Linked DNA regions of Elephas maximus indicus. The protein of the gene in region 2 binds, or shares a complex with, the protein of the main gene of each other region. Links are inferred from orthologs where the notes say so. Each region holds a gene or a part of one and is shown on either strand. Other genes may lie near its edges.

Region 1 (7,882 bases), on a different chromosome or scaffold from region 2:
GCAGTCTGTGCCAACTGTGCGTCTCACAGCCCACGTCACACCACTTCACCACAGAGTGATGATGCAGTGACCCATGGTTCATAATGACCAGTGGGGCCCCCCTGCACATGCACACCACATGCCCGCCAAACAGCGAAGAGTCTAAGCTTTAATCCTCCTCTCTTCGAAGACCCCTTCACATAGCCTCCCCCGCCCCATCCTCAGCCCCACACTCACCCTTCTTGACCGCATTGACTTCTAAGGGCTTCAGCCCCAACTTTGCCCGGAGTTTACTGAGAACAAGAAACACAGTGTTAGGGACTGCCAGGAAATGGCGCATCAGATGCATTTCTGGACAGACAGAAGATGGAAACGGAATGGGAATGAGTGGTCCTAAGGCTCCCGAAGGAGCCCTGGTGGTACGGTGGTTAAGTGCCTGGCTGCTAACCAAAACGTCAGCAGCTCGAACCCACCAGCCGCTCTGCAGAAGAAAAATGTGGCAGTCTGGTTCCATAAAGATTACAACCTTGGCAACCATATAGAGCAGTTTTACTCTATGAGTTAAAACTGACTCGATGGCAACCGTTTGGTTTTTTCTCTGTCTCCCAAACACAGGATCTGCCTCAGGCAGCCTGGGCACTGGAAAAGGCGCTGGCCTCAAGAGCAGGGAGCATGGCCACTGGGCCTGGCCTGCCCCAACCCATGGAATGCCACCCTTCCTCTTGGGTTTCAGTTTTCTCTTCTGTCACCAAATGGTTTGCCAAGATGATTCATCTGGCCAGTCCAGCTTTCATCAAAACACTTCAATACAGGAAAGCCCCCCTAAGTGGCTGACCTAGAAGCCACTTGTCTCAGAAGGAAAAAGCAGAAATTCCTAGACTTACTTGGTCTCCTCGATGCTGAGTGACGAGGCATCTCCTGAGCTGGTTTTAGAGCTGGCAGCTGGAAAAACAAGAAGCATGGCTCAGGAGCTGAGCAAAGGGCCAGGAAGCCAGCACCCTGGCTCCAACTGAGGGCAGAGAAGAGGGTCCCTCACCAGAACCTGGCCCTGCAGAGACCCCAGGAAACAGCAAAGACCTGGGCCTTCACCCCAGCCTCACGAACAGCAAACCTCAGATACCACAGAGAAGCTAGACACCATCAGATGGAGCTCCCCAACCAGCTGCTACCACGTGCTCATCTCCCTGTATCCCCACCCCACCAACCTGCCTTCTCCCCTTTTACCCCAAAGATTCCCCTCTCCACCTGGGCCCTGGATCCCAGCCCCTCTGGGCTTTCTCCAAGGTCACCAGCCTCCTGATTGCTAAACCCAATGCATTCTTTTCAGCTCTGGTTTTGCTTGTTCTCTTGTGCTACACGTGCGACACTGTTGATTGCTCCCTTCTAAAAACACTCTCGTTCCGAGATCCCATGACACAAGACTCTTCTGGTTTTCCTCTTGCCTTTTTGGCTGCTCTACCTTCTTTTTTTGGACCCTCGTCCTTCACCCACTTCTAAAATATTGCCATTTCTCAGGTTCTCTTTCCTATTTTGGCTTCTCACCCCATGCTCCCTCTCAGGGGGCTTTACCTGCCGCCTAAATACCCATGGGAAACCCTGGTGGCACAGTGGTTGAACTAGGCTTGCTAACCAAAAGGCTGGCAGTTCGAATCCACCAGCCATTCCTTGGAAGCCCTATGGGGCAGTTCTGCTCTGTCCTATAGGGTCACTATGAGTCGGAATCAACTCAACAGCAATGGGTTTGGGTTTTTTTGGTTTAAACACTAATGATTCCCAAGCTGCCCTCTCTGGGCAAGACCCTGGACATCAAACTCAACAGTCTCTAACACAAAATTAATGATCTTCCTCCACAAACCTGCTTCTCCCATGACCTGTCCCATTTCAACAAACGGCAGCATCTCACCGAGGTGCTTAAATCAAAACCAAGGAGTCACCCGCTACTCCTTCACCACCCACATCCTAGCGCTAAGGTCTGCTGATTCCTCCTTCAAAACACCTCTTCATTCTGTTCACATGTCTCTATACCACTGCTGCTGCCTGGGTGCAGGCCTCCATCAGCCCCCAAGTGTCTACAGCACTCCTGATCTCACTGCCCCGAGTCCTGCCTACCCAGCTTCCAGGACAATGATAATTACAAACCGTGAATCCGATCATCTCACTCCCCATCTCATATACGTAGCTTCTAACTGCCCTCAGGACGGAGTTCACATTTCTTAACTTGGTCTACGGACACTTCTTATTCCAACCACTCAGTGCCTATCTTACAGCCTCCCATCTCTACCATAAACGCTACACAATCCGCCAAATACCAGCTTTGCTCCTGCCTCTGCACATGTTGTTCCCACTTCATTCATTCATTCACTCAACACACTAAGGGTCTGTGATATGCCAGGAAACTAAAAAAAACAGATAATCTCTGTGTCTCGTGGAGATGTATAAAGAGAAACAGTGTTTAATTCTAACAACTGCAGGAAGGCTCTTTATCAAGCGCTAGTGATGAGAGTCTGAGGGTGCCTGCTGGGCCTGCACGCACCGGGACCCCGTCCCCACCCCAGAACCCTGGCCCCGCCCCTCCGGAGGCCCCGCCCCTCACCGGCCTCGTATCCGTCGTCACGCTTCTCCCGCTTCACGCGCCGCTCGGAGGGCTCGGCCTGGCTGCGCTCCCGCCCATGCGCGCTCCCGCGGGCCTCAGCCTCGGCCCCGCGCCGTCCGCTCCCGCGCTCGCCCCCGCGTTCCCGGCTCCGCTTCCTTCGTTCGCCGCCGCTGCTGCCACCGCCACCGCTCCGGTGTTTATGTTTCTTGTGTTCCCGATGCCGAGACGGCTGCTCCGTGGCGCCCCCGGTGCTGGTCGCCGCTGTTGTCCCAGCCGCCTCCTTTTCGCCCCGGTGCTTCTTTGACGACCCCATGGTGGCACGTCCACCCCGAGCCCGGCCACCGCCGAGTCTCGACGACGCAAGATGGGAACACTTCCGGGTCGCCCGGCTGCCGCTGTTCTGTTGCCGGAAACCGAGAGCGACTGTTTCCCTCGTTCGCCTTGGAGGCTACCCCAAAGGCTCATGGGAAGGCCGGAAGTGAAGTTTGACTGCGCAGTCGCGGCCGCTTCGGGCGGGGTGGTGGCCTTGGCGCCGGTGGCCCGAGTGCGCATGCGCTCCGCCAGGTTCCCGGACCTGGTTTGGAGACCCGGAACCGTAGACTCCCGGAGCTGCGGGGATTTAGAGGCGTTCTAATCCAACATCCCTAGAACTGTAAACCTTTCCTTGGCCCCCTTCACTTGCACACCCCACGGGGCGCTCATTGCCACTCGATAGGGGTCCTCCTAGTGTACTCCCTCAGGTGTCGGGCGATGCTGCGTGTCCTCCTCCAGAGCCCCCAGCTCCCACAGTCGGCATTGACCCCAAACGCAGCCTCCTGGCGTCCCCTGGGTTGGATTTTTTCAGTGGAGTCTGTGAACGGCTAAGGCGCTCCAAATGAGCCTGTGTCTAAAGTCCCTGAAATTGAGCGCAAAATTTGACATATCTGTGTGTTGTGTGTATAAGCATATATATATATTTTTTTAACTTGAGAAGAGGGGCTGGGACATTTAGGCCTAGTACACACAATCCCTTCTGACACTTTCCATCCAACAGTTGCCTTGCTGGCTTCTGGGTTCTGGTGGCTCCCCTTGTGGCGCATCTCATACAGGTCATGGTGTGTTGTATGCTTCCCTTTCACGGTGATGACCACCACTGGGCTGGGAGTCCTCAAAGGCCAGGGCCTTGTCCGTCCCGTTCACCCTTGAATTCCTAGGATGCAGCATGTGTTAGTATGTATTAGAGACTGAGGGTGGGGGAGTCAGAACTGTTCCCCTTCAAGCTGCCCCACCCCCAAAAGCAGAGACAACCAGATGGGGAGAGGCTAAGCTTGCTGCCTACCCACTTGCCACCTCCTATTTCCAGCCCCCAGCTGCCCTCCCCCCAAAATCCCACATTGCATTTTCCATAAATCCTTTAATTTTTATCTCAAGGACTAGATGCTGGGTCTGGGCTGGGAGTGGAGGGTCTATCAGGATGGCTCTGGTGAGTCTGGGTTCTGTCCTTGGGAGGCTCTGAGAAGTTTGCTCCATTCTCACCCCTATTGACCTATGACTCCTTAAAGACCACACACAGAGGCCGCATCTCCCCATCCCCACCCCACTCCCATGCCCAAGGAGATCTGGGCTCTAGGAGGGGAAAGACTTGTCTCTGACGATGTGAGTTCAAATCCCAGCTCCTCAACTGGAGTGCTGTGTGACTTCCCTTCTTGCGCCTCAGTTTCCTTATTGTAAAGCGGGCCTTATGACTCCTTCTGTACTGGGTTATTGTAAGGAGTAAGGGATGGTATACTTGAGATCACTGGTGGGGCACCAGCCCTGTGATGGGAGCTTGGGGTGTTACACCGCAGATGGCCATGGAGCCCCAGACTGTCTCTGCTGCTTGCCTGTGTCCTTCGGCAAGGCCCTGTCTTTATTAAGAAGTGGGCAGAATAATCCAGGCCCTGCCTTCCTCAGGTGATGTGGAGGACGGGAGGCCTGGGAAGGCCTTGCTGATCCCTGGGGCTAGGCTGAGTCCTCCAGGAGGGAGACTGAGAAGGATGGCACAGGGCAGCACGGACTGAAGCTTAGATTCAGGGCTGATCAATATGGCTGTCCTTGGGGTTCCCCCAGCCTTTCGCAAGATGTCCAGCCCTAGTCCAGGTGGGGCTGGACGTAGGGGTGGGATTCTGTAGGGTTCTGAGCACTCCTGTTGGGCCCCCTCTCCCCCAACTTGGCAGAGCCAGCTCCTTAGCCAGCCAGCCGGCCTCACCTGGATTTCCTGGAGGTGCCCTCTGTGTCTTCTTTTCCGACCTCTGCCAGCAGCTGTTCCTCATCCAGACCCAGTGCTGACAGCACCTGGGAGAAGCGCCGGGTCACAGTGAGCCGGGCATTGGCCTGAAGAAAAGGAAGATGGGTTCCTGTCCTGCACCGGGGCCACCAAGCTCACAATGGAGCTCTGATCGCAGGAGGTCTCAGAGCTTCCAGGCTCTGAGAGGGCCCACTCCCCATCTCGCTTCCCTCCTCATTCAGCTGGGAGATGCTCTGTCCTCAGGGGAGGTCATTTGCTTGCCCAGTTGCTGGCCTCACCTGCATGGCCTACTGGAACAGGTAGGCCCTCACCCGCATGGCCTACTGGAACAGGTAGGCCCTCACCCGCATGGCCTGCTGGAACAGGTAGGCCCTCACCCGCATGGCCTGCTGGAACAGGTAGGCCCTCACCTGCATGGCCTGCTGGAATAGGTAGGCCCTTACCTGCATGGCCTGCTGGAACAGGTAGGGCCGGGCCTGCACCCTATGCTGGATGCCCCGCAGCTCTGCCTGGTACTCAGCAAAGCGCTGTCGCTCCTGGCACCTGCACGGAGACAAGCCTCAGGGCAGCTAATCTGCCCCCAGGCCCTGTGGTCCCGTGGACACAACCCACCCCCTTCTGAGTCTGCTGTCCTCACTAAGGGCTCTGCTTCCCCCTCCCCCACCTTTATAAAGCCACTTCATCCCCATCCCTGGGTTCCTGGTGAGGTCATCAGGGCGGGAATTATTCGCCCCATTTCACCAATGAGAAGGCTGAGGCTCAGGAGGGTTGAGGGACTTGTCCAAGGTTGACCAGCTGGGAAGTGGGGGACTTGCAGGCTGTACAGCCAGGGCCCACGTGGCCTCCCATCCACCCCCAAGGCAGAGGGGTCAGGACAGGGTTCTGACCCCTGGACATCTGTTTGCTCAGCCTCTCTCATCCCGCAGTCCCACATGCCTACACCCTCTCCTGTTGCAGCTCCAGGGAGGAAGCTGTGGTTGTTGGCTGTGTGACTTTGGCCCAGTCACGGCCCTTCTTTGGGCTTTTGGCTCAGTTTTCTTCCTTCTTGTGGGGTTTGGTTCCTGAGTGGCACAAACTTTGTACTTGCGTGCTAACCAAAAGGTTGACAATTTGAAGCAACCCAGCAGCAGTGTAGAAAAAAAGCCTGGCAATCTGCTTCTACAAAGATTACAGCCTAGAAAACCCTATGGGCAGTTCTACTCTGTAACACACAGGGTGGCCATGTGCTACGTAGGGTTTCCTGTCTTCCTAGGCTGTAATCTTAATGGGAGCAGATTGCCAGGCCTTTTCTCCCACAGAGCCACTGGGTGGGTTTGAACTTCCACCCTTTTTGTTAGCAGCTGAGTGCTTAGCCATTGCGCCACCAGAGTTCCTAATGAGAAGTGAGCTCTCTTGGGTTTTCTTGGCTGTAATCTTTATGGAAACGGATCACCAGGCCTTTCTTCTGCAGCCTTCTGGGTGGGTTGGAACAGCCGATCTTTCAGTGAGTAGTTCAGAGCGAGCCGTTTGCACCACCCAGGAACCAAGAACATAAGTTACTGCAAAAATGGGGTTTTCAGAAGAACTAGGTGGTACCCAGTGACAATTGATGACTACCATGACAGGGAGCACAACAGAGAATCCCTGAAGGAGCAGGAGAGCAGTGGGGTGCAGACCCCAAATTGTAGTGAAAAGACCAGACTTAATGGTCTGACCGAGACCAGAGGGATCCTGGAGGTCATGGTCCCCAGACTTTCTGTTAGCCCAAGACAGGAACAAACCCTGTCATGACAAACCCTATCCCCAAGACTTTGGCTCTCTGGGCTTCCACATTTCCTCTCTGGAGGTCCCCATACTCCCCTACCCAGCCCCTGACCCTCCTTGAGACTCTCATTCCCCTGAGGACTTCTCCCATCCCTCTTCCTCCCCCTCTCCACCCAAGAAGCCTGCTGCAGTCCTGGGAGCGGCAGCAGCAGGAGGAGCAGCAGAGGGCTGCTTCAGACAGGGATTGGACTGGACTACAAGACAGAAAGTGATGCTGGTGAGGAGTGGGTTTCTTGGATCCAGGAGACGCATGAGACTATGTGGGCAGCTCCTGTCTGGAGGGGAAATGAGAAGGCAGAGGGGGACAGAAGCTGGCTGAACGGACACGGAAACACAGGGTGGAGGGAAGGAGTGTGCTGTCTCATTAGGGGAAGAGCAACTAGAAGTCTAAAGCAAGTATAGAAGGTTTTGTATGAGAGACTGACGATGTGTAAACTTTCACTAAAAAAAAAAGGGGGGGGGTTTCCCATACAAGAGAGTATGTATAGCAGTTACGGGGTGGGGAGCATGAGCTGGCTACCCATCTCTGTCTTGCCTGTGATGTCATGTGCATTTTTCCTGCTTGGTACTTTGTGCCATTTCTATTAGGAATAAGAAGCAGCTCACCTCTCAGAGCCCCAAATGAGAAAGCAAGCATTGCCGGGGGAGGCCAACCCTGCCCATGTCAGGAACGAAAGGAGGACACATCACCTCCCTATCACGGGGTGAGGGCGGCAGGCCTAGTCCGTGGGGCCTCGCTGTGGCCAAAGCTCTCTCTTGCCTGTCCCTCCTCAGCAGGGTGGGCCTCCGGTGCTGCTCAGAGTTGACGGGCAGGCAGTGCTGAGAGACCAGGTGGGAACTATCTGCTCATGCCTTAACCCGCTCTTGAGTAGAAAATAAATGGGGCATGGTGAAACCCTCTTCTCCTGGCATCTGCCCCTGGATTTCTGAACCTTAGGCTCCCTGCCTTATTAAAAAAAAAAAACCAACCCTGAACTTGAGGCCTGGCAAGGAGGAGACATCTCCCTAATCACTGGCCAAGGATTCCCCTAAAACCCACTTGGCCTCTGGGAGCCTTGGTTTCCTCATCTGTAACATAGTGGCAGTGAGACTGAGCCACAAAGAGCAGATGCTCAGAGGCCAACGGAGTCCTCAATGGTGGCAGGGCAGGAACCTGCTTCTGTCTCAGCAGCACTTGTCCCAGGACCGAAGGAGCGAGGGGCGGAAGGGGCTGCTCTGGCACCAGCTGCACCCAGTAGGTG
Region 2 (6,838 bases):
AAAGCAATGTATTTACAATATATTAATCTACATTAAACTAAACCTTTATACTGATGTGAATTATAAAAACATTTTTGTTGCTCAATTTCGACCTCATTTTCAGTGGTTGTATTTTAAAGCCATTAACAGAAAGTGCAGATTTGGTTACATTTTGGTTAATTCCCAAACTGAACAAACCATGTGAGGACATCAGAGAGTAACCAAACTATTACTCAACAGGTATTTTATATTTGAGCCCACAGTCGTTTTAATATTAAGATACCAAGCTTAAGTGTTCAGGATATTCTTCACCACATAAGTATACCTGAGCAAAACAAATGTGTATTTTTTCTTCTAAATAACTTTTTTGTTCTTTAAAATATATACAGAACATACACCAATTCGACAATTTCTACACATACAATTCAATGACACTGATTACATGCAACTTGTGCAACCATTTTCACCCTCCTTTTCCGAACTGTTCCTCCGTTAACAAACTCACTGTTCCCTACGCTTCCTACCTAACCTTTTTGCTGTTGTCAATTTGATCCCAATGCTCAAGGTAGATATTTTTGGTTTAAAGTTTAAAGATTATTCCAGGGAAATAGTTCTCGGGATTCATCCAGCTTCAAAGCTCCAGAAAGTCTGGATTCCATGAGAATTTGAAATTCTGTTCTGCATTTTCCCCCTTTTGATCAGGATTCTTCTATAGTCTTTGATCAAAACACTCAGTAATGGTAGCTGGGCACCATCCAGTTCTTCTGGTCTCATTGCAAAAATAAATATTTTGAAACTAAACAATTTGAATTAAAAAAAGAAAATCCCATCTCAGCAGGACTGTATGAGACTATTAAGTCATGCAGTCAAATCAATTTTTATCTTTTCCAGTTACTCTCAGGCTAGAAAATATAAAATTTCATTCAAACTTAATGTATAGGATATCATGGGAGAATTCACAGATATGTCACAAACCCTAAAAGAAGGTGTAAGTAAACATTTACAGTAAAAATGTTTATACAGTATAATACATAAGGTTATATTTTCATTGTACATATTATACAAGTCACAACATACACATGAACTCATTTAACCCTAGCAACAACTCTGCCAGTTATATACTATTATTACCACCATTTTATGGATAGGAAACTTAGGCTTATTACGGTTAACCAAATTCTCCAAAGTCACACAACAGGTGAGTGAGAAAGTCTCAGCAAACACAAATGGTTCAGTTTGATTGGAGAACTAGGTTTTCAAATATCAGTGGTATAAGAATGGATGATCTCCTTGGTGGTGGATTTAAGAATGCTGTGTTAAGGAGTCTGGACTTTATTCTGCAGAAAATGAGTCCATCACTGTGGCTGTAATTTTTAAGAGGTAAGAGGAAGAATTCAGTTAAGCCAGGGTTATCTCAAACTCAGCATCACTGACATTTGGGGCCAGATAATTCTTTGTTGTTAGAAGCTGTCCTGGCCTCTGCCGGTTAGCTGCAGGCAGCAGCAGACCCCGCTCCCCAAGCTGAGAACCACTGAGTTATCCTAAACCAGGAAGAAGGTATGAAGTTGTAAAAGAAGATGGTATCTGTGATAAAGGAGGAAGAAAATTTAAAGACATTTTAGAGGCAGATCTGACAGGATTTCACAATTCATTAAATCAAGGGATTAGAAGAGCAAGGTATCAAAACTAGTTTCATCCTCAAATTCTGAAATAACATCTACTAAGAATCAGAAATCTAAAATTACAAGTAGAATGATCCTTTTATTAAAAAAAAATAATTACCATTTCATCAAGTCCTGATAAATCCTGAGGATACAAAATTTTATCAGCCCATCAATAAAATAATTTTAGATGATCGTTTTTTCGACAATAATTTCCACTTTTCTTAATGTTAATGTTGGGAGTATGATTTAATACTTAAGCCTTTAACAACTCCAATTAAGATTAATGGACAGAAATTTCGTAAAAAAGTTGGCTTTGATGCAAATGTATATTTAAATGTAAAATTATTAAATATCAATTCTTTCCCAAGTCTGACTTCTTTAAGGGGCTGGTAATAAATAAACTATACATAAGGCAGACCAGGTGGCTGACCCACAAAAACTGATCCTTGGATGCTAACCCTTTGTGCAATCCAACTACTACAGCCAGAATTCTGGCGCTACATGGTATAAACAATATAGAGAAGTACTCAGGAGACACGGAACATGTTACGCTCACTCAAGAAGTGTTTGAGGAGGTTAAGGCTTCAAACTGGGTCCTGTATAAAGCAGGAATATCCTACTTAAAAGTTCCGTTTGATTTTACTGGGTGCGGGGGTGGAGGGGGAAACAACCCTTCTCCCGATTAGAAAAATGAATGCTCTCTCATAATTCCGATGATAATAGCACAAGACGTTAAAGTTTAAGTACAAGAAGGCAAGAAAAAGGAATTGGATTTTTAAGTAAATGCTCAATCAACACAAACACACTCTCTAAGATGAAAGTGGCTTTTGACTCCTCATATCCTATAAAGACTTCCATTCCAGCCACCTTATCCAGAACATGATGCTGTTCACGATGTTCCACAAAGGCTGGCGTCGAGGTCCTCAAGTAACGAGGAAGGCCGTGGAGATGTGGGGCCGGGAGCTCGGGGACAAGGGAGGCAAATGGGCTGCATGCAGGTGCTTTTCGCGGCTTCTGGCAACCAGGCCGAAACGCAGGGTCCGTGCGGCCTTGGGCTCCGAAGCGCAGGGCCCTGACGGGGATCCGGCGGCCTCCGACCGGAGCGAGGGGCGGTGCAGGGGCCCATGCCCACCACTCGGCCTACGCACGCCGGGACGCGCTAAGGGAAATGGAGGGGGCGCCTAAGGCACCTGTGGCACGCAAAGAAGCTGCCACTGCGGCTGGGCCTTGACACTTACTTACTTTTTCAACTCGGGCGGGTGAGCCTTGCTCATCGTGGCTACTCGGGAGGTTCAGCGCCGCGTTGAAACAGAACTCGCGCCCTCCCTCACGCTCCGGCGGTCGGCTGGCGCTTTTGCGTCTGACGTCATCTATCCTGTTAGCCAATGGACTGATGGCAGCGTTCACATTTCACCTCGCGATACTTACCGGAAGCTTGAACGCGCCTCTGAGCTTCAAGCTTCCGGTTGCGTCGTAAGGGATTGGTTAGACAGCCTTTCTCAATTCCGTTTCCCCTTCTGTGAAATTGAGATAATAGTCCCGTCTGGCTTCTGAGCTACACCAGCCAATCCCGTCGGGGTAGATGGCACTGTTCATCTTCGTCATATATATACCAAATGAAAACAGCCCTGGAGTAGTTATGGCTAGCTGCCGTCTAGCCGTCCCCTGATGGTGAACCTGTGCACAATGAGATTGGACCTTTTTCCTTGGCTGATTTTTTTGGACATAGATAACCAGGCTTTCCTTCCCAATCTTAGTCTGGAAGCTCCCCTGAAACCTGTTTGGCATCATAGGAACACGCATGCCTCCACTGATTAAAGGGTAGTTGGAAACCCTGGTGGTATAGTGGTTAAATGTTACTGCTGCTAACCAAGAAGTCGGCAGTTTGAATCCGCCAGGCGCTCCTTGGAAACTCTGTGGTACAGTTCTACGCTGTCCTATAGGGTCGCTGTGAGTCGGAATCAACTCCAGGGCACTGGGTTGGTTTTGGTTTTTGGGGGGCTGTGCATGAGGTGCGTTGTCCTGGAATCGAGCTTGGACCTCCTGCATGGAAGGCAGGAATTCCATCACAGAAACTCCACTCTCTCCACCCACCCCTGGAGGAGCGAATCCCTAATGCTTCCTTGGCATTTATCACCACAGCACAGTATCACGTCAAATCCAGGGTTGCAGTAAGCATGAATTAGTGACCTCTCTCCACTAGAGTGACAGGGCTTCAGTCTCCAAGAATTTGTATCTTGAGCCCTGAAATGTATTCCCCATTGATGGCCCAGCAATTCTTGGAACACTGCCTCTATTTTGTAGTCATTCATAGAACCCTGCTTAATGTGCCATTGCCCCCACATATGAAGCGTGAGGTGTGGCACACAAAGCTCTGTATTGAGGTACCCATTTTCCACATCAAGCACACAAGTGTAAAAGGTGGTCCCTGACTTGTTCCCAGTTGTGAGGCTACTCCAAAACAGAAGAATCCACATTTATGAGTAAAACATAGCGGGGATGACAAAAGACTTAGGCCAAAATAGTAGAGTTCATTTCTGCTTTAAATACCTTGCTGATTCTAAGCAGGGGTGGTTCTCCAAAATTTAAATTCATTCCTAATGTTCGAGAACGCCTGCTGAAATACCAAGTACAGTAAGAACTTAAACTCATCAGTTATTTTGTATTCTTTTGGTACTCACAATCCTAGACATTGGATTTTCTCTAGACGGGTCAGAGCTGTGTACCTTTTCCACATGTTGCCATTAGTGTTTAGTTGAAACTAGAGACCTGACATGGATACCAAGTTTTTTTTTTTTTTTTTTTTTCCATTAATGGGCTTCAAGTCATAGTGCCCCAACCTTCCCTCAAAGTTTTTCTCATTTACAGTTGTCTTGCATCTGAACCATAACACAAAATCAATACTACTCTTCTGGACATCTTAAGAACTTATTTCACACATTACAAGGAGAAGCACCCTGAGAAAGTACACATTTGTTGTTCGGATATGAAGAAAGAAGCACAATAGTGTGGGGAAAATTAAACCTTATTTATTTTTTCTAATTAAACCACTAGGAAAATATATCACAGCCATGAAACAGCAGACAGGCTACAATAGCACTTCAAGTAATAAATTGGTAGAAAGATGACAAAGGCCTTATCAAAATGGTAAGGCGTCACTGAAGCAGGAACACTGCGCACTGCAGAGGCCTCAGGCAGAAAGTGGTATTTGGTAATGGGGGGCTGACCCTCCTTTGCTCGAAAGGAGCCACAGCTCTCCCTAGCTCCTGAGTTACTTTTCCTCCCTTGACTTTCATGTTGCCAGGTATTGGCTTAACAGGGCTGTTATTTCAGGGGGCTAAGCAGGCAGCTGGACACATCATCAGGAAACACCAATCACTCGAAAACGACGTTATGTTGGTAGAGCGCCAACAAAAACGAGGAAACCCTAAATGAGACAGATTGCCACAACAGCTGAAATAATGGACTCAGACATGCCAATGATCATGAAGACGGCACAGGACCAGGCAACACTTAGTTTTGTTATACATAAAGTACCATGAGTTGGACCCGACTCGATGGCAACTAACAACAACAAAAACAACAAGAAGTAAGTAATGCTGGGTTTAGGCCTTCATTTCATTCAGTTATATGAAAAACTAGGTTTATCCAAATCCAGCACAACTTTCTTAATTAAGCAGCCGACAGTTTCTCTTTCATCATTCATTCCCAGATATTGGTATGTATCACAATCAAAACCCCTTTTCCTTCAAATGAGTAGTGTCATTGCAAGATTGTCCTGTCACTCTACTGCAGACAGCCTCAGAGGCCACCAGAGCAGCCAGCGAGAAGGAAGTTCTGCTTCCCATACCCAGTGTGACACGGTCTCCCGTTTTTGCACGGTCCCAGGCTGAAAGGTGCAATATATGAGAATTTCAAGAAAAGCACATCTTGACAGTCAGATGGCCAAAGAGCCTTTCAAAGTTTTCATCCAACTACCCTGTCTCCCAGCTTGACATCTTAATCAATATCAGGCTCTTGGATATAAAACAAAACTAAGCAAAACAAAGACCCAGATCTCTGTTTTCCACTTCTGCATTACTGATCTTATGGATTCTGTTTTACAGCTTATGGAAAATGGGGTGGCGATACTTCTTGTAAACAGGAGGTTGGCAACAAACAGAAATACTCTCTTCAAACACCACCAGGTCATAGGTAGGCTGGAGGAACATGCCAGCCTGTTGGTACTTATGTGAGAAGCAGAATCTGGTGTGTTGGAGGCTCTGGCTTGATACAGCTGCTAGGATAAGCACTTGCCACATATAATTTAGGCTGTAAATAACTCTCCTGTGCTACCTACAACCCAAATTTTAGCACCAGTTTTTCCCACTTTACTTGCTATGGATTAAAACCTATAAAAGAACCAGCATCCACAGAGCCAGGTGACATAGTCCTTAAACTTGCTGCCATCCTTAATTTCTTCATTCCTAAACCTCACTTAAAAAACCAAAATTCCCATCCTGCCCTCATTCACAATGGCCACTAGCAAAGACTTTTATTTTGCAATGGATGAGAGAGACTCCTTCATCTTCTTGGTCATGGACGGGATGAGATGCATGTGGTCATCCACACACTTGGTCACACAGCTCTCCAGCTGCTGCTTCACCACAAGTTCCTTATTCCCTGCATCCATTGAGTCTCTGGCTTTGTCATTGCAATGCATGGTACACCGGGCCAGGCGGTCCTGTGGTAAGAAGGAAGAAGGCAGAAAAGGCTGAGAGGCTGCCTCCATTTACCCTGGGCTACAGGCTTGACATACGTTATCTTGACCAATTAAAGAGACACTGTAGTGCAAGTTGGGGCCCTGCTGACTCAGCTGCTAACTGGTCAGCAGTCTGAACTCACCGGCAGTTCCTTGGAAACCAGATGGGGCAGTTCTACTGTCTCACAGGGTTGCTATGAGTCGGAATCAACTTGACGACAATGGGTTTGGTTTTGGGTAGTACAGCTGGAGTCCCCAAGTGGAGCAAACAGTTAACGCACTCAGCTGCTAACTGAAAGGTTGGAAGTTCGAGTCCACCTGATGGTGCCTTGGAAGAAAGAGCTGGTGGTGATCTACTTCCAAAAAATCAACCACTGAAAACCCTACGGAGCACATTTCTATCCTGACACACAAGGAACTGCCATGAGTCAGAGCTGGCTGATGACAACTTGTT
Region 3 (7,022 bases), on a different chromosome or scaffold from region 2:
ATCCCCTCACTTCACAGGGCATCTGGCACCCAGAAGAGGGACCTGCTAGGGACACAGCCAGGCCCCGGGGAAAGCTGAGGGAGGCTAATGTCTGCTGTGGCCATACAATTTGGACATCCTCCTATGGCATTCGCGGGACCCCCACACCCGTGACGGCCACCCTCAGGGCATCACGTGGCCCAGCGCAGCCAGGGAAGACAGTCCCCTCCCTACCAAGCAGGTGGAAGGAATGTCTGGGACACAAATGGGGTCAGCCGCACCCTGCTCACCACCCTCCAGTAGGCTCCCCGGTGCTTCCCAAGCCAGGCCCGCCCAGCTCCAGCTACTCAGCCTCCTGCTCCCCACTCCTGCCCAGGCCACCTGCCCTGCCCCCTCCCCTGATCTGCCCACAGTGTCGGCGCACACATTCCTAATAACCTCATTCAGGACCTGAGGTTTCCACTTCACATACCGCTGTTTGTCACCATCTAGAGACTTACGCAGTCTCTAATTAGCTTGTTTGTTTATCAACTGCCTCCCTGGCTAGACTGGAAATGCCAGGTCTCTGCTAGACTGGAGAGCTCAGAGGGCGTGGGCTTTGCTGAGCTCAGTGCCAGGCACAGGAGACGGGCAAGGTAAACATTCACTGAAAAAATAAACGACGCACATTCCTCAAGTAAGCACACAAGATGCATCGGGATATTCTTGTCCCCTCCCATAGAAGGAAAAGCAGGGACTTAGATGGGGAGACTACCACCCGTCTGTCAGTTTGTCCTACTGTGGTGGCCTGCATGTTGCTGCAAAGCCGGAAGCTATGCCACCAGCATTTCAAACACCAGCAGGGTCACCCACGGCGGACAGGTTACAGAGGAGCTTCCAGACTAAGCCAGCTAGGAAGAAAGACCTGACAATCTACTTCTGAAAATCAGGCAATGGAAACCCTACAAGTCATAACACAATACCGTCCAACTTGCTTGCTTTGGCTATGTTCTCAGGAGAGATCAATTGCGGGAGGAGGACATCATGTTTGGTGAAGTACAGAGCCAATTAGGGTGTGGGGGACCCTCGGTGAGATGGACTGATATAATTGCCACAAGGATGGACTCAAACATGCTGGTGATTGTGAGATGGATGCAGGACTAGGCAATGTTTCACTGTGTTGTACATAAGGCTGCCGTGACTTTGGGTCAACTCAACAACAGCACATGATAACTACATTTGGGAAGTGGAGGCGCCAGGATTGGGGTTGCTGACCTCCAGCCAAGGCAGCTCTCTGTGGGCAGTGGTCCTGTCTTGCCTCCTTCTGCATTCTTGTCCCCAAACTGTGCTGGAGAGAAAAGCAAGATAAACGGGCCGGGTCCTCAAGGACTTGAAACTTCGTGGGAAAGAGGAAGATGCGTGAAAGTGCTGAGTAAGACAGGAGAAGGCTGGTTCAGGGGAGACAGGGCCACCATGAGGCAGGAAAATCACAAAATTTTGAGGAAAAATCATTCCTTTCTCAGATGTCTGGGACCTGGAGTTCAAGTCTAGACCCACTGAGGAAGAGTTCCAATGGTTTCTCATCCAGGACCCTCCCTCCAGCCTGTCCCTGACCACAGGCTGAATGCATCTCAATGCATCCACTCTCTGAGCTAGGAAATGCCTGGAGGGTCAGGGCTCAAAGAGTCCATGTCTCAAAAGTGGGAACAGCATGGAGTCCACGCTTTGCAAAGGCCCGTTCTAGGCTCCAGGTCCTGGGTGGTACAAGCGGTTTGTGCTTAACTGCTAATTTAAAGGTCGGCGGTTAGAACCCACCTAGCAGTTCTCTGAAAGGCCTGGAGATCCCCTTCCATAATATTACAGCCAAGAAACCTTATGGAGCACAGTTCTCTTCTGTAACACGTGGTGTCACCATAAGCTGGAAACAACTGCAAGGTAAGCTTTGGTTTTGACTCTAGTCTCTAGGGGGCCCATCAGGGATTGGAACAAATATCCTGCCTCACGGAACTTAATTTTTGATAGGTCTTTCTGGTTTTGCCCAAGCCCTTGTGCCATCTCTGTTTCTGTCCAGCAGAGATGCCTGTTCCCTTCTCTTGGTCTCTACACCAGCCAGCAGGATTTAGGGCGAGCTCACCACAGCCCTTAGCTCTGAGAAATGTGGAGTGACACCTCGGGTGGCTCCCAATTACAGAATTCCTGTCTCCCAGAGTGGACACTAGAAGTCACTTCTCCACCGAGGGCCTCTACTTCTCTCCCTAAAACGGGAGGGCCCTCTCCCATTGCTGAAATTCCTCTGCGTTGGGCCTCCATTTTCCTGCCTATTGGGTCCATAGCCCCCAAAAAACACGTGCACTCTCCCTGGGCCTCAATTTTTCATTCTGTGAACCAGGAGAATACATTTAGTCGACGCTGAGCTCGAATCTACCCAGAAACGACAGGCTGTATGACTCAGGAAAAGGCAATCCCTTCTCTAGGTCTATTTTCCAGCCTGAAAACGGAAGGCAAGACAAGAGATACTGCTATCATACTGGGCACGTTCCAGCCCTGAAATCCTTGGAACCTGCTTAACTGGAGAACTCACACTGGCTCCCCGCACCCCAGTTTCCACTCTATGCGGTCGGGGCTCCTTCCCTACCCGAAAACCCATTTTGCGGCATTCACGGTGCACTAGGCGGGTTCACAACCGCTCGGGCCTCAGTTTCCCCCTCAGGGAAATGCAAAGCACTGCGGTCAGGCTGCTATAGGATGACTGCACGTCCGTTTAGCCCTAAATCGCCCGAGACCGACCTGCTGGAGAACCTGGCCTCAGTTTCCCGCCACGGGCCCAGGGGCGGGGTTCGAGGCCGGGACTGCACTCTTCCCCGCACCGCCCCGAGGGCCCCTGGCGTTCGCGTCCCCCCGCCTCCCGGCGAAACCCCGCCGTCACGACCACGCTGTCGCCCTCCCCTCACCATGGTGCCGGCGGGGACCGGGCTCGCCGGCCACTTCCGCCGCCGCCGCCGCCGCCGCTCGTGCTGTTAGCAGCCCCACTGCGCGCCACTAGGCTAAAGAGGATTGGCAGATACACGAGCCAATCACCGCGGGGGTTGGGGAACGGACAACCATTCCCCGCGGAGGTGGGCGGAGCCTATTTGCGCGAGGGGCGGGGCGAAGCCGTGTTCGTGCAGGAAAAGCCGTAAAGTCCTACGACGAATGCTGCGAAAGGGCGTGAAGCAAGGCGCGCCTGTGCAAGCGGCATTTTGGGTAAGGACGCATGCGCAAGCCGACACCCTCGCCAGTCTCCTGGGCGCCACGCGGTGGGCAAACCTGGTATTGCCTTCCGTTTGCCAATGACTAAACCTCGAGGCCCCTTGGTTGTTCAGTCCGGCTCTGCGTCGCCCTTCGGGACCGCTAGTCTTGTAATTCTCACGAGCAAAGTTGATACTTATTTAGGGCACGTGTTTTAGTACGTTGGAACCCCATTCACACCTCTCCGAGCCTCAGTTACCCCACTCCAAAACTGGTATAATGATAGTACTTGCTCTAGAAGGTCAGGTGAGAATGAATCGAGTTAAGCCATGAAAAAGCACTTAGAACAGTATCTGGCACATAGTAAGCACTTAAAACATGTGCATGCAACAAATATTTATTAAACAAAATGGACAAAACTCCCAGTCCCCCAGGGGCTTAGGAGCCAGTCAGCGAGATGATAAATAGGTACATGTTTTCTTTTCCTGGGGCTGCCATAGCAAATGGGCACAAACTTGGTGGCTTAAAAACAGAAATTTATTCTTTCGCAGTTCTGGGGCCAGAGATCTGAAATCAAGGCATTGGCTAGGTTGATTCCTTCTGGAGGTTCTCCCTCTCCTTTCTCTTACAACACTTGTCCCTGGATTTCCACCACCTGTCTGTTAGTGTGTCACATTGTGGTGGCTTGTGTGTTGCTGTGATCCTGAAAGTAAGCCACCAGTATTTCAAATACGAGCCCGGTTGCCCATGGTAGACAGATACCAGCAGCGCTTGTAGATTAAGACAGACTAGGAGGAAAGACGATCTACTTTTGAAAATCAGCCAATGAAAAACCTATGGATCACAACAGAACCTTGCCCAACTCCCTTGCCTTGGACACACTACCAGGAGGGATCAATCGCTGCAGAAGGACCTCATGTTTGATGAAGTATAAAGCCAGCAAGAGCGAGGGAGACCCTTGGTGAGTTGGATTAACACAACACCCTCAATGATGGCTTCAAACATACTGGCAATAGTAAGAATGGCACAGGACCAGGCAACATTTCATTCTGTTGTACATAGATCACCATGAGTTGGAGTCAACTTGATGGCAGGTATCGATCTATGTATCTGTGTTTGATTTAGGGCCCACCCTAAATCCAGGATAATCTCGATATTTTTCATTTAATGACATCTCCAAAGACCTTATTTCTAAACAAGATCCCATTCACGGGTGCTCAGGGTTAGGACTTGGACATATCTTTTTTTAATAATATTTGTTGTGCCTTAAGTGAAAGTTTACAAATCAAGTCAGTCTCTCACACAAAAACCCATATACACCTTGCTACACACTCCCAATTACTCTCCCCCTAATGAGACAGCCCGCTCTCTCCTTCCACTCTCTTTCTTCGTGTCTATTTTGCCAGCTTCTAACCCACCCCCCCGCCTCATCTCCCCTCCAGGCAGGAGATCCCAACATAGTCTCAAGTGTCCACCTGATCCGAGAAGCTCACTCCTCACCAGCATCCCTCTCCAACCCATTCTCCAGTCCAATCCATGTCCGAAGAGTTGGCTTCGGGAATGGTTCCTGCCCTGGGCCAACAGAAGGTTTGGGGGCCATGACCACCGGGGTCCTTCTAGTCTCAATCAGACCATTAAGTATGGTCTTTTTACGAGAATTTGAGGTCTGCATCCCACTGCTCTCCTGCCCCCTCAGGAGTTCTCTGTTGTGTTCCCTGTCAGGGCAGTCATCAGTTGTAGCTGGGCACCATCTAGTTCTTCTGGTCTCAATATGATGTAGTCTCTGGTTCATATGGCCCTTGCTGTCTCTTGGGCTCGTAATCACCTTATGGACATATCTTTTTGGTGGCACAAAAGAGAGAAACCCTCAATGAGATGGATTGACACAGTGGCTGCCATAATGGGCTCAAACATAACAATTATGAGGATAGTGCAGGAGCTGGCAACGTTTCTTACTGTTGTACATAAGGTCACTATGAGTCTATGAGTCGGTATTGGCTCGATCGCACCCAACAACAACCCCATCCACAAGACCCTGTTGTATTGTTGCTGGGTGCCATCGAGTCAATTCCAACCCATAGCAAGTCCATGTGATAGAGTAGAACTGCCCCATAGGGTTTTCTTGAGTGTAATTTTTAATCTTTACAGAAGCAGATTGTCAGGCCTTTCTCCTGCAGAGCCGCTGCGTGGGCTTGAACCTTCAACCTTTCTGTTACCAGCTGAGTGCTTATCTGTTGTGCCATTGGGACTCCTTAAAACTTGCTGTGGAGTCAACAGAGACCCTCTGATGATAAGGTCCCTAGGTGGCACACACTGAGCTCAGCTGGAACCCAAAGGTTGGTGGTTTAAACCCACCCAGCAGCACCCAAAGCAAGGCTTGGCATTCTGCTTCCATAAAGATTACAGCCAAGATTACTTCTACTCTGTAACACACAGGGTTGCTGTAAATTAGAATTGACTAAGAGGCAAAAGACAACAATAACAGCTCCACTCGCTTTAGCAGGTGTTAGCTATAATGACTCCTGTAAACGTAGATGTCTATTTGAATAGTTAATTTCTGCTCCCAGGTGATCTCCTGTGTAGTTTCATACGCTTGTGAGCGTGACTGCAGCCTCAGTCCCAGGAGAGTCCCGGCTGGGTGGCCATGCAGGGCTCTAGCCTCTGGCCACATGCCGTCAGGTTTGCAAACGGAGCAATAGGTACCCCCCTTCAAGGCCCACACCTCTCCTGGCCAGCTGAGCCTCAGGAACAGCCTGTGAGCTTTTTCTCATCCAGCCCTGGGCCAGGGATTCTGGCTGAAAGGACTGCTTGACTCTGCACAGGAAGCCCTTAGAGCTCGGCTTCTCAATAAAAGATTCCCCTGTGCCAGGCCGCAGAGACTTGGGCAGAGGGGACTGGAACTTGCAGATCTAGATGCCTCCCACCAGAAAGGCTTAGGCAGGAGGCACTAAACCTCTTCCTCTGGGGCCTGGCTGAGGGGAGAAGGGCCTGAGCACCCGGCAGAAGGAGCAAGTGGTCTCCTTCCCTTCTCCTTGAAAAGAGAAATAATTACCTGTACCAACCAGGAGCCTTGGTGGCCCAATGATTAAATGCTCAGACGCTAAGCAAAAAGTTGGTGGTTTGAACTCACCCAGTGCCTCCGCTGGAGAAAAGACCTGGCAGTCTGCTTCTGTAAAGTTTACAGCCTAGGGAACACTAGGGGCAATCTACTGTATCCTATAGGGTAGCTATTAGTCGGAAGCGACTCGATGGCACACAACAATAATGGTTAATGCCACCACCTGTCTCAGTTTGTCATACTGTGGTGGCTTTGGTATTGCTATGATACTTCACCAATGGGCTCAAACATAGCAACAATGGTGAGGAAGGCGGCGGACCAGGCAATGTTTTGTTCCGTTGAGTCAGGGCTGACTCGATGGCACCTACCAGCAACAACGATTCTGAAAGCCATGCCACTGGTATTTCAAATACTAGCAGGGTCACCCATGGTGAACAGGTTTCAGCAGAGCTTCCAGATTAAGACAGACTAAGAAGAAAGACCTGGAGATTGATTTCTAAAAATCAGCCAATGAAAACCCTATGGATCACAACAGAATATTGTCCAACATGGTGCTGGAAGATGAGCCCTCCAGGTTGAAAGGCACTCAAAATACACAAAGGCCTCAACAATGGACTTGGGCATACAAACGATTGTGAAGATGGTGCAGGACCGGGCAACGTTTCCTTCTGTTGTATATGGGGTCATCATGAGTCAGAGCCAACTTGATAACAGCTAACAATAATAATGATTAATGACGCTGAGCATCTTTTCATGTGCTTCTTGGTTTTGTGTGTCT
Region 4 (7,118 bases), on a different chromosome or scaffold from region 2:
TATTCATTTATTCGGTATGTCTTACTTTTAAACATGCAGTCTAGCCTACCTTCCCATCTCTTCCTCTCTCCTTCCAGCTAACGTCTACTACTTATTCAAAACGCAGGCACCTCTCACATCCTGTAGGAAATCTTCCATGAACCAACATGTCTCCTTTCCCAGCCCGGTTTACGTAAAGTGCTTCACAGAAGCCTGTGGCTTACAATTACTTAATATTGTGATTGTTTACTTGCCTCTCCTTCCATGGGAACTCCATGGTGGTATACCTAGTAGAGTACCTGACATATAGGAAGCGTTTAGTTAAACAGACTTTCCATACCTTTATTTTTAGTAGTTCTTATTATATAAGCCTTTCTCTCTTGTAACTTTTTTCTAGTTTCTTCAACTGTCTCAAATTCTGGAGCGTAGCAGACGTGAAGCAATCCACCAAAGAAACTCTGTTCATCCATTTTTCTCTTTGCTGTCCTAAACAAATACATGATAGCATGGTTTATTAATCAAGATTTAAGCTTAACTATTATACAATAGGTTGACCTAAAGAGCAAAGTCCACCTTTTGTTATGTGCCCACACCTCCTCTGGTTTGGAAATTAAGATGTGCTGCTTGTGGGTGGTACTAACCCTACTGATCCAGGACTGTGGTACATACTTTTGGTGACTTTTGCCACCTCTTCCAATAGTGTTAACAGATTTTAAGCTATCCACATATACCCAGACTTCCTTTAGCCAATTTAGAATCTAGTTGGCTGGCCTGAGGTACACAATCTGTAGCCATGAAATAGGGCTTTTCTCTGTGTTAAGCTAAATAGCCCTTGAGAATCAGTTCATACCCAAACTAGCCTCTTTAGCACATTGTGTTCCTATAATCAGATTCATACATTAAAAAGTAGTTTAAAATATTGTAATAATAGGTACTGTAAATATAGTACTACTGTGTCCAGGGATAACGATAAGAAACACTTACTGTTTACCACATGCCAGACAGTGTCCCCAGTGCTTCAAGTGAATTTACACCTCAAAACAACCCAATGGTGAATTAGAGGCACAGGGAGATTATATAGCTTGGCAAGGTCACACAGCTGGTTCAGTGGAGCTAATATGCAAATCCAGATGTCTAATCTAAAGTTCACTGCACTAAGTGCTGTAGAAGATGCAAAAGCTCTAAAAAACACCATGGGGTGCTGGCAAGATGGCTGGGAAATGAGATTACATAAAAGAGCTGCCTTAAAAGAATCATAATCCTATAGAATCAAGTGCTTTTGTGACATAGTATGAGTGCTATTGGTAGTACCGAAAAAATATCAACTGTTTTAGCCAGGGAAGAATGATTCTTGGAGCAGATTAGTGACAAGAGTAAGGGTCAACATGAAAAACAGATGAGGCATTTCATACTTCAGCCTTATTGGAGCAGAGAATTACACAGCAAGCTGGATAAGATGGGGTCAATCCACACACGGCCATAACAATAAGAACGTCGATAGTTAATGTTACTGCATTCTGAATAGGAGGTGCTATGCTAAGCGCTTTATATGAATTGTCTGATTTCATCCTGACCCAACCTCAAGAGATTTACAAATGGATTTTACAGAAGAGGAAAACAGGCTTAGAGAGGTTAAATAACTGGTCCAAAGTCATAAAAGCAGTGGGACTGGAAAATCTACTCCAAACCCAATTTCTCGCCTACTATACTACACTGTAAAAAATGGTTAAGCATGGAAATGACATGATGGGAGCAGTGTTTTGGTAAGGCTAACCTTTAAGAAACTGTCCTTGGGTGGTACAAACAGTTAAACACTCAACTACCAGCCAAAAGGTTGGTGGTTCAAACCCACCCAGAGATGCTTCAGAGCACAGGCCTGGCCATCTGCTTCTGAAAGGTCACAGCCTTGAACACCCTGTGGAACAGTTCTAGTCTTCACACATGGGGTCTCCATGAGTCAGAGTTGACTTAGTGGCAATTAACAAACACCACCACAACAATAACCTTTAAGAAGACGGAAGGATGATATGAGAAATACAGGATTAGTTCAGGTAAGAATGAGGGAAATCTGAGGCCAGAGTGATAGCAATGGGAATGGAGGAAATAAGACATGGCTTAACTTGCATATTACCTTGCACTTTGTAAATTCAGAAATTTAATAAGATAAACTTCTGTGAAGTCTTCTGCTGGGTATTCATCTAGAGCATTATACTGTTCAATTGTACCATATAAGGCAAATCGCTCAACTAATTCCTTCATGGCTCCCACTGCTGGAACTCCTTGTATTAATAAATACCGAGATTCTAAATTGATTGTATATACCTAAAAGAAATGCAGATTCATTAAACATACTTCACAAATAAGCCTAGAACAAACGTCCTATTTTTTTTTAAACAGCTTTGAAAACATACTGTTCAGCACAGTTCGCAGAAAACATACAGAATCAGAAACTTTGCCACGTTCTGCATAAATAATTCACCCTACGTTTGAGGGCCTCGGACTAAAGCACACATCAGTCTACCTTCAGTCGACAATTTTTCCAGACGTTAGATCGGTAGAAGCGGTTCATGTTTCTGGGAAGATTCGCTCGACGAATATTTAAGTGCTTTCCACGTGCCGTGCACTGTTGAAGCACGGAAAATACAAGGAATAAAACAAAATCCTGCTTATGCAGAGCTAACGTCTTAGTGGTTGACTAAAAGAGAGCTTTGGTGCCTGCTTCGCGGTTACTCACACTCAACTCCAATGAGGGACGGACGTGACAACAAACAGCCTTGTCAAGCCTTTATTTACACTTTTAGGAAGGCGGAGCGAGCACACATACGTAAAGCTACCAAGAAAGCGAAAAAAACAAAATTACTTTACCTTGACGGCGCGGGGCCGTCGTCCCTCCCGATACTTAGCCCGCGTGTCGCATACAGCCTTCTGGATATGATGTTCGAATAAGCTCCCAAGCTCCCCACTACTCGACGCCATGTTGTTAGCTTCGGCACTCGCAGAGAAGACAACATCTGCCTTGCTGACCTCCCTTTCATCCAATAAGAAAGCGGGATGCGTCAAGACGTGACCGGATTGGCTGGAGCATCGACAGTGTCGGCCATCGTTTCCTGCGAGAGAAGATACGGTGAACAAGATGCCGCCCCCTAGTGGCGCGGCGGAGAGCCAAGGAGGGTGAGTGAAGGCTAGCCTGTCTCTACCCCCTCAGGCGTGCGGTGGGGTGCGCTGCCGGAGAGGGGGAAGGGCCAATCGATTTTCTCCGGGACCGAGGCCCTCGCCTGTCCCGTCCCAGGTCGGCCCCGGCTCTAGGGAGGGCGGCCCGGAAGCGGTGCTCGCCGGCGATGTGGGGCAGTGATCGACTGGCGTGTGCGGGGGGAGGCGGGGTAGCCGTGACAGTGGCCTTCACCAACGCTCGCGACTGCTTCCTCCACCTGCCTCGGCGTCTAGTGGCCCAGCTGCACCTGCTGCAGGTAACGCTCCGGACCCGGGCGGGGCCCGGACCAGGGACGCCGCGACAGTCGCCTGGAGTCGGAGGTGGCCGAGGCCTTGTAGGGATACGGCAGCTGTTCAGGGCTCTCCGCTGCGGGGGAGCCTACAGGGGCACCACTGGCTTCCCGGCGCCGCTGGCCAGTGCAGAGGTCAGATTGAAGGCCCCTCGAGGGCAGGGCGGTCTGAGCAGTCCATGCTACCCACCCCCATGCCTCGTGCAGCCCCGGGCCATTAAGTTACCTTGCTTATCCCAAGTCTTCTCACTCGGTGAAACTGGGCTTTTAAAAATCCTCTACCTGTTTTTAAAAAGTCTACCTCTGCGTTCAGAAATACTTCTCACTCCGCGTTGGGAAAGCTTTTGAAAAGTCGCTTATTTTATCGTTTTAAAAATGTTTTCCCTGCCAGAGATTTCCAGGTACCTGCACTGCTGCTGTCTGGGCCTCGAGAGGGAGGAGACAGACTTTGTGGAGTCCCTGTACGTTAATGGAGCTCTGGTGGCACAGTGTTTAAGAGCTACGGCTGCTAACCAAAAGGTCAGCAGTTCTGATCCACCAACTGCTCCTTGGAAACCCTATGGGGAAGTTCTGCTCTCATCTGTAGGGTCAGTATGAGTCGGAATGGACTCGATGGAAATGGTTTTGGTTTTTATTGTGTGTTAACGGGCTGAACACCTCCCAGGAGCGGAAAGCAGAAAGGTTAATAAAATGATGGGTATTCCCTGCGCCGCCATGTGCCAGAACGTGCAGTGGAATTAGGTATACTTGGAAAGATTACTTGGATGTTGTAGTGTTTCGCTAGTCCAACCACGGGCAGAAATACAGCATCTGTGTTTTCATAATTAAACATACAGGCATGTGGTCTCACAAAGTATGAGTGCGCTTATGGGGGCAAAAGGATAAAATTTTATTTTAAATCCTGAAGAACCCTGAATGCATGGTATCCACACTGGATAATTCATGCAAGAAATATTTTAAGAATTTGCAATAATGTCAAGTATCTCACCTTTTCACTTTGTTGTTGTTGTTAGGTACCATCTAGCGGGATCCAACTCATAGCAACCCTATGTACAACAAAACTAAACACTACTGGGCCCTGCACCATCCTTACAATCCTTGCTATGTTTGAGCCCATTGTTGCAGCGACTGTGTCAGTGCATCTCATCCAAGGTCTTCCTCTTTTTTGCTGACCCTCTTAACTTACCAAGCATGATATCCTTCTACAGACACTGGCCTCTCCTGATAATATGTCCAAAGTATGGGAGATGAAGTCTTGCCATCTTTGCTGCCAAGGACATTCTGGCTGTACTTCCAAGACAGACATGTTCATTCTTCTGGCAGTCCATAGTATATTGTATTCTTCGCCAGCACCACAATTCAAATGTGTCAGTTCTTCTTCAATCTTTGTTATTCATTGTCCAGCTTTTGCATGCAAATGAGGCCAGTGAACACGCCATGGCTTGGGTCAGGCACACCTTAGTCTTCAAGGTGGCAGCTTTGCTTTTTAACACTTTACAGAGGTCTTTTGCAGCAGATTTGCCCAATGCAGTATGTCATTTGATTTCTTGACTGCTGCTTCCATGGGCATTGATTGTGGATCCAAGTAAAATGAAATCCTTGACAACTTCAATTTTTTCTCCATTTATCAGAATGTTATTTATTGGTCCAGCTGTGGGGATTTTTGTTTTCTTTATGCTGAGGTGTAATTCATAGTGGAGGCTGTAGTCTTTGATCTTCATCAGTGTCATGGATTGAATTGTGTCCCCCCAAAATATCTGTTAACTTTGCTAGTCCATGATTCCCAGTATCGTGTGATTGTCTAGCATTTTGTCATCTGATATGATTTTCCTATGTATCATAAATCCTTCCTCAATGATGTTGATGAGGTGGATTATCAGCAGTTATGTTAACGAGGCAGGACTCATTCTATGAGGTTAGGTTGTGTCTTAAGTCAATCTTTTTTGGGATATAAAAGAGAGAAGTGAGCAGAGAGACATGGGGAGGTCATACCACCAAGAAAGCAACACCGGGAGCAGAGTGCATCCTTTGGACCCAGGGTTCCTGGGTGGAGAAGTTCCTCGACCAAGTGAACCTTAATGACAAGGACCTTCCTCCAGACCCAGCAGAGAGAAAAGGCCTTCCCCTGGAGCTGGCACCCTGAATTTGGATTTCTAGTCTACTAGACTGTGAGAGGATAAACTGTTTGTTAAAACCATCCACTTGTGGTATTTCTGTTAGAGCAATACTAGATAACTAGGACAGTCAGTAAGTGCTTCAAGTCCTCTTGGCTTTTAGCAAGCAAGGTTGTGTTATCTGCATATTGTAGGCTGTTAATGAGTCTTCCTCCAATCCTGATGCTGTGTTCTTCTTTATACAGTCCAGCTTCTTGGCTTATTTGCTCAGTAGTATGGTGAAAGGATACAACCCTGATGTACACCTTTCCTGATTTTAAACCACTCAGTATCCCCTTGTTCTGTTCAAATGACTCCCTCTTTGTCTATGTACAAGTATCTGCATAAGTGCAATGGAGTGTTTTGGAATTCCCATTCTTCACAGAGTTACCCATAATTTGTTATAATCCACACAGTTGAACGTCTTTGCATAGCTAGTAAAACACAGGTAAACATCTTTCTGGTATTCTCTGCTTTCAACTCAAATCCGTCTGACATCAACAAAGATGTCACTTGTTCCATGTCCTCTTCTGAATCTGGCTGGAATTTCTGGCAGTTCCTTGTTGATGTACTGCTGCAACCACTTTTGAATGATCTTGAGCAAAATTTTACTTGCGTGTGATAATGATATTGTTTGATAATTTCCACATTCTGTTGGTTCACCTTTCATTGGAATAAACATAAATATGGATCTCTTCCGGTTGGTTGGACAGGTATCTGTATTCCAGATTTCTTGGCATAGACAAGTGAGCACTTGCAGTGCTGCATATGTTCGTGGAAACATCTCAGTTGGTATTCTGTCAATTCCTGGAGCCTCGTTTTTTGCCAGCGCCTTCAGTGCAGCTTAGACTTCTTTCAGTACTACCAGTCCTTGATCATATGCTACCTCCCAAAATGGTTGAATGTCAGCCAGTTCCTTTTGGTACAGTGACTCTGTGTATTCTTTACATCTTCTTTTGATGCTTCCTGCATCATTTAGTATTTTGCCATAGAGTCCTTCAGTATTACAACTTGAGCCTTGAATTTTTTCTTCAGTTCTTTTAGCTTAAGAAATGCTGAGTGTATTCTTCCCTTTTGGCTTTCTAACTCCAGATCTTTGCACATTTCATTATAATACTTTGTCTTCTCTGGTTGCCCTTAGAAAGAATTCTGTTCGGCTCTTTTACTTCATCAGTTTTTCCATTCACTTCAGCTACTCTGTGTTCAAGAGCAAGTTTCAGAGTCTCTTCTGACATGTTTTTGTCTTTTCTTTCTTTCCTGTCCTTTTTTTTTTTAATTCGTTGTTGTTGAGACTATACACAGTAAAATATACAGTGATTCAGCAGTTTCTACACGTACAATTCAGTGACTTTGATTACATTCTTCCCATTGTGCAACCATTCTCACCCTCCTTTACTAAGTTGTTCTTCCCCCATTAACATAAATTCACTGCCCCCTAAGGTTCCTCTCTCATCTTGCTAGTTGCTTTTGTCAATTTGATCCCATA

The links.
Region 1: SNRPG (region 2) and SART1 share a complex: the UniProt entries of both Homo sapiens proteins name them as parts of the U4/U6-U5 tri-snRNP complex. The link is inferred for Elephas maximus indicus from reciprocal best matches to the Homo sapiens genes SNRPG and SART1.
Region 3: SNRPG (region 2) and LSM4 share a complex: the UniProt entries of both Homo sapiens proteins name them as parts of the U4/U6-U5 tri-snRNP complex. The link is inferred for Elephas maximus indicus from reciprocal best matches to the Homo sapiens genes SNRPG and LSM4.
Region 4: SNRPG (region 2) and RBM48 share a complex: the UniProt entries of both Homo sapiens proteins name them as parts of the minor spliceosome. The link is inferred for Elephas maximus indicus from reciprocal best matches to the Homo sapiens genes SNRPG and RBM48.

What each region holds. Positions count from the first base shown.
Region 1 is NC_064825.1:129,096,233-129,104,114, reverse strand, and holds the start of SART1 (U4/U6.U5 tri-snRNP-associated protein 1), read right to left. Parts: upstream 3,023-7,882; 5' UTR 2,886-3,022; coding exon 2,573-2,885; intron 922-2,572; coding exon 864-921; intron 273-863; coding exon 217-272; intron 1-216. UniProt on the Homo sapiens protein: Plays a role in mRNA splicing as a component of the U4/U6-U5 tri-snRNP, one of the building blocks of the spliceosome. May also bind to DNA.
Region 2 is NC_064835.1:65,895,199-65,902,036, reverse strand, and holds the start of SNRPG (small nuclear ribonucleoprotein G), read right to left. Parts: upstream 3,013-6,838; 5' UTR 2,918-3,012; coding exon 2,886-2,917; intron 1-2,885. Other genes in the region: protein FAM136A, read right to left, coding at 6,178-6,366. UniProt on the Homo sapiens protein: Plays a role in pre-mRNA splicing as a core component of the spliceosomal U1, U2, U4 and U5 small nuclear ribonucleoproteins (snRNPs), the building blocks of the spliceosome.
Region 3 is NC_064821.1:38,290,612-38,297,633, forward strand, and holds the start of LSM4 (U6 snRNA-associated Sm-like protein LSm4), read right to left. Parts: upstream 3,012-7,022; 5' UTR 2,913-3,011; coding exon 2,910-2,912; intron 1,894-2,909; exon of another isoform or gene 607-1,893; intron 1-606. UniProt on the Homo sapiens protein: Plays a role in pre-mRNA splicing as component of the U4/U6-U5 tri-snRNP complex that is involved in spliceosome assembly, and as component of the precatalytic spliceosome (spliceosome B complex).
Region 4 is NC_064826.1:62,574,208-62,581,325, reverse strand, and holds the start of RBM48 (RNA-binding protein 48), read right to left. Parts: upstream 3,001-7,118; 5' UTR 2,956-3,000; coding exon 2,845-2,955; intron 2,302-2,844; coding exon 2,111-2,301; intron 466-2,110; coding exon 320-465; intron 1-319. Other genes in the region: peroxisomal ATPase PEX1, read left to right, coding at 3,318-3,446. UniProt on the Homo sapiens protein: As a component of the minor spliceosome, involved in the splicing of U12-type introns in pre-mRNAs.